Drosophila melanogaster: one gene and its partner. The main gene of each other region encodes a partner of the protein of the gene in region 2 in a complex. Each region holds a gene or a part of one and is shown on either strand. Other genes may lie near its edges.

What was found.
Region 1: the proteins of PlexA (region 2) and Sema1b are in contact, whole or in part, in a crystal structure (PDB 6FKM), measured with the Drosophila melanogaster proteins. Residues at the interface, in NP_001245428.1 of Drosophila melanogaster: Leu122, Asp123, Pro125, Tyr217, Glu220, Val242, Thr243, Arg247, Asn251, Ser252, Tyr253, Ile401, Ser402, Pro403, Met405, Val408, Leu409, Thr410, Lys411, Leu412, Leu422, Asp423, Val424, Asn425; in NP_001163178.1 of Drosophila melanogaster: Ala106, Leu107, Lys108, Gly109, Gln175, Ala201, Phe203, Ser204, Asp207, Tyr211, Arg216, Gln219, Tyr220, Asp221, Leu222, Lys223, Gln227, Tyr274, Ser275, Ser385, Ile386.

Annotation. Positions count from the first base shown.
Region 1 is NT_033778.4:17,680,466-17,685,224, reverse strand, and holds the start of Sema1b (semaphorin 1b), read left to right. Parts: upstream 1-1,725; 5' UTR 1,726-1,832; intron 1,833-2,230; exon of another isoform or gene 2,231-2,330; intron 2,331-4,759. Other genes in the region: CG42561 (uncharacterized protein), read right to left, coding at 1-70, 130-251, 321-341.
Region 2 is NC_004353.4:1,024,061-1,029,111, forward strand, and holds the start of PlexA (plexin A), read right to left. Parts: upstream 3,042-5,051; 5' UTR 2,903-3,041; exon of another isoform or gene 2,710-2,902; intron 2,476-2,709; exon of another isoform or gene 2,156-2,475; intron 1-2,155. Other genes in the region: mitochondrial inner membrane protein MPV17, read right to left, coding at 4,683-5,051.

The DNA of each region.
Region 1 (4,759 bases), on a different chromosome or scaffold from region 2:
AACCTGCAGATGTCCGGCTTCATTCTGGCTCACGGATTCCTGGCGAATAGTGCCACCCGGATGTTCGATTCTACAGATTCAGAACTAACTAAGTAAAGGGAAGCTCTCTTCTGGACTTTGATTAGCTACCTGAGAAAGTATTCTTGATTGAGGGGCTCAAGTTGAAAGCCATTTGTGCGGATTTGCGGAACGATAGTTGGTGAAATTTGCGGTGCCGCGTTGACCGCAGTGAAGATGAAAATTGCCAACAGCTAAATATTATTATGATTTGAAAATGGTATGTTTAAACTTTGATTTGCATATGCGAAAAGACTACTCACCGCGAAAAAATCGCGAGACATGATGACCTGTCTGTGGTTGAACAAAAACTATCTGAATATCTGAACGCTTGGTCAGTTTTGAGCCCAAAACGAAGGCTGGTTGATTTAAGTAGCAAGCAAACGAGTTTTGATTTTTACGATGAAGATACAAAAAAATCACACATCTGCTTCGCGAGAAACACTTCAGTACACCTACTAATTCAAATAATTGCAAAATTCCCATCTTATAAGGCAATTGAAAAAGGGACACAATAAAATCGACTCATCTAGCAAAAGCATTCGGTAGCCTTCGCTGTGACAATTAACTTGGTTCAAATCAATCTCCACACGTCATGCCCAATGCAAAATCATTCTGTCATGATAAACTTGTGACTACATTAAACACCTGGCCTATGAAATTTTCTTGGGGAGTTCCCAAGTCAAATTTTAATTCTTTCTACGTGAGATTCTTACAGTTCTAAAAAGTCTACCCCGGTATATGACTAATAGGATTTTGACCTTTAAGACACGGTCCAATTGGGACTTGTAAAAAATGATTTCTAAGAATTTGCTAAAAATAATTTGAAATGGAAAAATACTTAACTGAAAATAAGAAATAATAAGAAAATATAGAATTGTTTACCCAAAAATAAAAAAATTTTAATTGTAAAATTGTCAATTAATTTATTTTTAACAATATATGTATGATTACACAGTTTTTATAGTTGAATAATAAAAACTTTTCAATAATTAAAAATTTGACATAGAGACAAACTTTTGCATTATATATGCACTTTCTGTATTTATTAAATGTTTATACTAAAAGGTTTTTTCCATTATAATAATATCTATAAAAAATTTTTATAGAAAAACACTTAAGACCAATCAAATTTCATTTTACCGGTTTGCCAATCTTTTGAACTTTGACATTTTATCAATTTCACCGATCGGAATCGATACTTATCTCGGTCTTCTTCTTCCCCCTTTCCATCACACTTCCTGTGTATGTGAATGCAAATTTAATGGGCGAGGGGGTGGTGGGTGGCTGCGAGGGCGGAGGCTGCAGCTCAAAACAAACACAAAAATACCCCCACATACACAGCGCGCCGCCCACACACACACACGTACTCGCAGACGCAGGCACATAGACGATGTAAAGTTTTTCACTGTTTATAAAACCTTATCAATTTCACTTACTTTGCAGCCATTGTGTATTGCACTTGTAACCTCTCGTTGTCGGAAGATTATTGCACTTTATTTCTGCTTCATTTTATTCATTAGTTTTTATTTTTCTTTGCAGAGGAACTTACGGCGCTGCCATACCTTAGTGTTACTAAAAATCACCGTATTGCATAGCTGCTGGTAGTCTTCAATACTAGCATTCCGTTCGGTATATTTGTGTGGTATATTTTAGGAGGCCCACTGCGGTCACTTTTAAAATGGCCGTCGATCAGTGAAGTTGTATACACTTTTTTCGTGTTCCGTGTTTTTCGCTTAATTTGATCGTTTATTTAAATGTTTTTATGAATTTTGGTGAGTTGAAAAGCTGATCGAATGCAGCCTGCTGGCAAAGGATTCGATCGAAAAGGATTTTGTGCAAACTTCGAGTGCCCGAAATAGTGTTTTCTATCCCCAAAGACAACCCCCGCATAGCGTCTCTCACCTCCAGGCAACAACAACACACCCAAAAGAGACGCACTGGAAGCATAAAAAGCAACAAACAGGTTTTCATTGTGTACAGACGTGTGTTGCTCTACCCTCTCGCTCTCGCCCCCTTAATTTATGCGCATGCAGCAACAGCAGCAGAAACAACAAAACCAACAACATGTATAAAGCAACATAAGAAACAAGTAATACAAGAAAATAAATCATTGAGTGTGAGTGTGTGTGCGTGCATGTTGGCTGTAAACAGCAGCCAAAGTGGTAAAGTTGAGTCGAATCGAGTCGAGTCGAAAAGAGAAGCGGATAATAAGTGGCAAAAGAAGCTGAAGCAAAAGAGTTAGCCAGCTTAGAAGTGACGCGTAGCTACAGGTGAATATATCGGACTTGTTTTTCAAGCGCGAGACAGGCGGTGGCCGCTGGTCGCTGCTCGCTAGTCTGTGGAACAGTAAAACGGGTTTATGGTTCTGATGTCCAAAAAGAAATAGAATTGAATCGATTAGCAGCCTAATCAATTTACCACTGAGCTGCAACGGTAAACGGCAAATGGAAGTTGCATTTACATACAAACGTATGCACAAGTTCCAGCCCATGTTCCCAATTTCCAAAGTGCGTTTCCCCCCCTCATTTCAAGTGGCCAAAATTGGAACGCGTCCCACTTAACCCCACTGCGGTGCAGGCTGTCCAAATTGACCCTCGTAAATAACTCCCACATTTGCGGCCTCTGTGTTTTGTGAATGAAAACTTAAAAAGGAAAAACTAAAAACTTGTCGCGCCATAACTACGCCTCTCCAAAAAATGAAATCAAGAAAAAAAAAGAATTAGCTGAATCATCTAAATATATAGTAAACTGGTTCGTCTGCATGATTCACCGAACATCGGAAGTCCGGTGATAAACCTATCCTACAGACCATGTCTGTTCCGTTTATTTTTGTTTGATAAGTGGAAAATAAGAAAAACAGAACAGAGCAATGAACCTCCGGCGATAGCGGTTTAACAAAAGAAAACAGACTTCACAATTGATAATTATTCATTAAAAAAAATATATACACACTACATGCAGAGTGTCATTACATCAGATCAGAGTCCAAGCTCCACCAAAACTGGCAGCCAGTCGGGCTCCAAAAGGCAACATCCACTACACGCCACTCGAATCCACCTGTTGCCACTTTGTTCGGCTTAATAAAAACGCCCACGGACCCAAACGGGTTGTACAGTGGGCATTCTTCGAGTAAGAAAAACAAATTAGAATCCTCCTCATAAAACAAATGAACTCTTATTACTACGTTTTCTTCTTTCGGAAGGCAACATATCACTAGATAGATAGATAGATCACCAAAAAATCTGCTAAACTTAATGTATGTAATGCAATTTCAATTGCTCATTACCTAAACGCTGAAGATAAAAGCCTTAAAATTAGTTCAACCCTAGTTGGGAAAACTGATTTGCTCAAAAAGTAATACAACCTATCAGAAAATATAATTGGGATATCAAGACTCATACATTTAGGTAATTGAAATGTAGTTATGATGGTCTTTAAGTAAATGATTATTAAACGAATAAGGAACTTTCATAACACCACTTTGTAATTGGACATTATCTGAAAAAAGTGTTTTATTACCGGCGTAGTAAAGGCTGTAATTCAACTCAGCGGGGCCTCACTGTCTCAGGCGATTTCTACCGTGGGCGGACGATTGTAAGCGGTGCATATCTAATAACTACACGCTGAAATCAATTTTGTATTGATCACGTCTGTAGTAAGGAACCCTGCCAGTTCTTAGATGTTTACACTTTTTTACTAGAAAAAAACGTATCTCCATTTAACACGTTTTTGTCGGGCTTCCCACACGCAGGAAAAAAAAACAAAAAAAAGATGAGGTAGAAAAAGGGAGCGGCAACAAGTGTCAAACGTGACATACTTTTCACCCTTATCTTGATGAGGCTGTTATCTCGCAACTCTTCGAAACCCATGCTTATCAGCGGGGAGGTGGTCGGGCGTGCCACCCAACTATCCCAAAAATAGTGGCACACATTCGTAACTTGATCTCGAATGTGAGCTCATTAATTTAGCGCCAGACGGTCAGTTTTTTGTGGAACTGGCATAATTGTATCTGTATTTTTATGGGCTGCCAGAAGCGGAACGGACTTCCTGGCATTGAACCCAAGTGTGTGGCTTGTGAAATATGAGAACGCCACTAAAAAAAATAAATGAAAACTTACGAAAACGCCGGTTGCAAGTGTGGTTACCTCGATAAGCCAAATACCCTATGTAGCAATAATATATATAAGGTCAAGAATAGATATATATGTACGACTAAGACCTTTCTAACTACAGCAGAGAGGAGAACCAAGTTGCTGAGATCTAGGTGCCCCAGAAAAGGTGTTAATTAGCTGTCTTTATTCCTAGATGACTGATTATTTCTGTAAGTGGCTCCACTGGGCTACAACTAAAAGAAGAAGTACCGACCCAAGTGGCGGTCGGTACCATTCGCTGATTTCTCCGCTCACTAAGCCGCAAAACGGAGTGATAAATTGTGCCGCTGAAGAGGGTATTCAAATGTAATTTATATTATTTATTATGCACTTTTATGGCATTTCTCGTACGTGGGTTCTTGAGGCCAACCCCCATCATTTGAGGGCATTAAAGCGGCCAAGAAGATGGGCCGCAGGTCACTTAACCTGACCTGTGACTTAAAACTCTGGCGGCTGAGCCGTGAAAAAACCTTCGCTTAGGTAAATGAAAGACGAATACGATACGTTACGTTGCGACGATGATACAGACCACCACCACGAATCAACCG
Region 2 (5,051 bases):
GACATAAATATGGTATGGGCCTGTTTTTCATACAACGGTGTGGGTCCCATACATATGATTAATGGTATGTAAATATACCTAGTGATGTTTTACTGCCATATGCTGAATGGAATATGCCCTTATAATGGACATTCCAATAGGATAATGATCCGAAACGCAGAAGCAAATCGGCTAAGAATAAGTTCACCCAAAATAGAATAGATGCAATGCCGTGGCAAGCACCATCATCCGATTTAAACCCGATTGAAAACCTGTGGGGGGACATTAAACAATACGTGTCGAAGAATTCCCCGATGTCCAAGATTCAGCTTTGGCAAGTTGTGCAGGATGCATGGGCAAAAATTCCCCCAAACGTCCTCGTGGACTCCATGCCGAGTAGGTGTAAGGCTGTGCTGGCTAAAAAAGGCAATCCAACCAGGTATTAGTCCCTAATTAACACATTAAAAAAAAACTATGTTAGTTCTAAGTCATGTTGTTACTATTTTTTCATATCACTGCTATTTCAGTGAACACCAGAATTTCTGCCTATTATGTTGTTTTAATCTATATCTATTGAAAAAATAAAAGTGAAACATATGTTGAATTGTTTGATATAATAATAAAATTATGAAAAAAATTCCCATTACAACTTTAAATCATATGATTTTTTATCCTAAACTCGCAAGTCCCAAGCACTGCTATTTTTATGAACACAGCTGTATATATCAGCTAAAAGGTTGAGATTCAGCATACAGATTCTAAAGACAAATACGGAGCGAAAGTTTGTTAACCTATGTTGCCACGCCCACTCTAACGCCCTAAAACCGCGCAAAACTGCCACGCTCACATTTTAAAACAAATTTTAAATTTTTTCTCATTTTATTCCTTAATATTGATATCCCAGAAAAATAAAGCAATTTCGCGTTCGCATTCACACTAGCTGAGTTACGGGTATCTGAGTCGGGGAACTCGACTATAGTATTCTTTCGAATTCTATTTGTGTGGATCACCAAACATTGAAATGCTGTTACATATAGATTATAAATGTATTTCGTGAACACCCAATAAATCGTAATTTTGAAAATCTTCACAGCCAAAAAAACTCAGTTTAAAAATTTAATCACGTCAAAACAAAAACTGTGGGTTGGCTGTAAGTGTACTTCCCTGAAACATGGGTAGTTTATCGCATAGTTTAAAATGATGTCGTACAAATAGTTTTGAAACTACAGTTAAGGTTAAAATAATAGCACTACTGCAGGTGGAAAATTGATATCCTAAAAAAAATTATAAATTTTTTTTTTTTTAAGCCAGATTGCATGAATAATAAGTACCATATGTTGCCTCTTTGAGCAATAAATTTTTAGTCTCTCAATTTAACGGTTCTTTTTGTTTTTGGGCACTTGCTGCAAAAGTGCGCGAAATGAGGCGGTAACAAAAATAGCACTGAAAACGTATTTGCTGAATAAAATTAATGGGAGTGATTGCTTTGGTTTTTTTTACGACAAATTTTGAAAAAAAGGTGTTGCATTAAAGGTTTTAATTGAATTTGCTCCAAACGAAGACCAAAAATTCTCTAGTCATGGGTCACGGAAAGCATTGTACCGTCGAAAAAAGAAATTTGATTAAAAACGTGATCTCTGAAGGTAAAACCTACGCTGAAATTGGTCGCATTGTCGGTTGTTCAAACAAAATGATCCGCAAATCACTGCTGTTTGTCGAAAAGAACGAAACGCGGCGAGGAAAGCCTTCAATGTCCAACTTGGATGCTCTCCAAGCATCCAAGCGCTTGGTTCGGCAAAGCAAGAACCCGGTGACGGAACTGAAGATGGAGCTTCAGATATACTGGCTCAACTCCTTAATATGAAAATCTCACCCAAAGCATAATTCATGAACCAACGTGCTCTACCATTTACTGTCTCCGAATAGGACTATAACCGACCAAAATATATTCCGCTACTGCCGCTAATATGTTGACCGCAACTGTACATATATATTAAACATGAATCCATATCATGCTATAAATATTAATGGAATGGAAATCCCAAGCTAAGGAGTTTCCTATGTATGCTATATAAGCATATCTCGTTTTTGCAATAAAAAATTTCCTCTACCTAACACATTAATTGTAAAACTTTGAACAAATTCAGTTCCAAACGTTCAATTTTTTTCCACTTACATATATTCGCACTCAGGCCACTTATTCCAAGCCATTTCGTTATAGAGAATTTATGTAGTTTTAAAGTATATTCACGGCTATTCCAGGATTTCAAATTTGGGCGAGCGTGCACAATATTTGGTAATTTCATTGCAAATGCATATATGCATACTGCACATACATACATACAAATTTGGCCAGCGCCCGAATTTAAATACATATAATAAACCGGTAAAATGTAAGTGCACTTAGTTTAAATGTTTTTAGGCAAAGATTATTGAGAGAAGTAAAACTCGATCTTTTGCATTTGGAATTTTTGGGATATTCTGGTGCACACACATCTATACAAAATGTATATATTTATATGCATACACATGCACATCATATACAGCAAATTTTATTTTGCTGCTATCTTTCCCAATGCATGATGCATTTAATTTCGTATGTGTGAAACGCAGCTAACAATGTATTTAAATAAGAGCCACACTTTTTAAAAATACTATTTACATAAATATAATATATACTTAAGTACATAAAACAAAATGATTGCATGGCCGTTTTTAATTTTTACATACATACAACGTTGTATACCAGTTAAAGAAAATTTGTATTTTCTTAATAATTCTAAAGCAATGCAATATACACTGGAACGTTAAATGATTTTATTACACTTTTTTTAATATTTAGCAAAAAATGACAATTTTGTATGTATATCTGAATTATGGAACGGCGATAGTTTTCTAGTGAACAATCGGAAATCCGGCTTACTGTTTGTTTTCCTATATTTCACTCATTAACTATTATTTCTTTACATCGCAAGTCACTGAACATAATTTCTGTCTATTTTCGAATTACACCACACTTTAATTTACACATCATTGTATGTAAATGTTATCGATACTATAAGGCAGAGGAGAGAATTAAACAACTAGTTGTTAGTCCTAAGACCCGTTCATACCTATCACTATCGATACCTAAATTAACCGATGGCACACTTCAAAATGTAATGTTCACGAGTACATGGAAAATGTCTTGTTGTTACTGTGTAATGACTCGTACGAAAGTAATTTGGAAGGGGTTTGATTCCCAAGCCAGATAATATTTATTATCTCTCTAATTTCCTTGAGCATTATTAAAAAATGAAATAAATATATTTAATATATTCGTTTTCTTTAATATCGATAGTGTGATGAGACTATAAAGGTCTGTTCACAATGAAAATGTAAATTGAAAAATTGGACTTAAGAATTTCATGCTAACAGCTCCTCAATCCACAGCAAATATGTGCGCAAACTGTATCAAAGCATAATTTTGTTATTTAAAATTTCATGGCACAACTTTTTTTTGTTGGCCTTTGTGCACATTTTATGACCTATTGAAATATCTTCAACTGACACCGACTGCAGATGTGCATATTTACACATCTGATTTAAAGCATTGTTGTTATGACCATGTAGTTAGAGACTTAGTTAGTTAGTAAGAAAAAAAAATAATCAATAATTTCACTGTTTTGAGGGCTGATTAGCAATAGAGATTTTTTCTAAGAAATGACATATAGATAAAAGTTAAATGAATTGAATTGCAGGGTGTTTATTTGCACATGTACACATGAAGTGTATTCCACTATTGGCTGCTTACATTCTCAGCTTCGTGCGTGCGCAGTTTGCGGTATTTTTGGCGCTACTAAGGTAAATTCTATCCATAAATCGTCTATCTCACGTTAAACAACAGGATATCAACAACTTGTGGGAAACTGTCAGAAGATACCGTTGACGCACTTTTCAAAAGTTTATTCCCCTAAATCGTAAAATAGAAATGTAGAAAGGAACAAACTTATGGAGAATTGATATTTTCGGAACTATGAACTCTAGAGAGCTCAGAGCATGTAGATTCAAGTGACGCCACATTTTTCAAGATTGTTGCAGAACGTTTGTTGTTTAACCCTACCTCCCACAATCTGCCTTAAAATGTCAGAAATAAAAGGTTTACCCGTTATTCAGATAGTGGGAACAGTGGGCGTGGCTAAAATACGTTTGGCAAATCGATAGAAACAGCCAAGAGAATTTATAAAATAAAATCGAAAAATAATTCTTAAGAGTGGGCATAACAGTTTGGGTGTGGCAAAATTTTTGTGGTATGTCAATATCATGACAGATAATTAAATGAAAACAAAATAACAACACAACGCCCACAGAAATTGTGGGCGTTAGATTGGGCGTGACGTCGTTATGATACAATCTTGCTTATCCAATTCAAATTTAAATGATCGAGTAAATATTTTGAGAAGCACATGCCCAACCGACTAATAACGGAGGGAAATAAGATTTCAAGCAAAATTTTTTGAAGTGCTTTGTAGGATTAAAACTCGAGTGCCTATAATACATGTATACTATAAATTCCATTCTATATGTACAGCCTTTCCGCCGAATACCCCTAAAAAAACGACAACCAAATCCAGTCCGAAGTCACATGTCGAGATAAGGATAATAATGTATTTGTTAAATTTGATACACAGGCACCGTATTACTTATGCGGGGAACTTAGTGCCCTAGCTATTAAGTATCATGGAGAGGTAGCAGTTCCATACGAGGGCGATGAACTGGGCGTAGAGCACCTGGTAGCCCAGCGGCACGAATCTGAAGTTTAGCATCTGTGCGGCCGGCCAGAGCATATAGTTGCGGACCAATATAGATAGGTAGCTATCAAGAATGCGCTGCCGGATTCGGTCGATGGGCTCTCCGTTGGAGAGTGGCACCAAAAAAGACATGGCCATGGTAAAGGGTGGCGCAAAAAGGGTCTGGTCGACCAGCATTTTGGTAACGCCCCGCCGCATTGGCGAGTAGGTTTTGGGAACCCGGGACTCCAAAAAATGGTACCACCGGCGCAAAGTTGGGCCAACGAACACCAGTCCAACGAT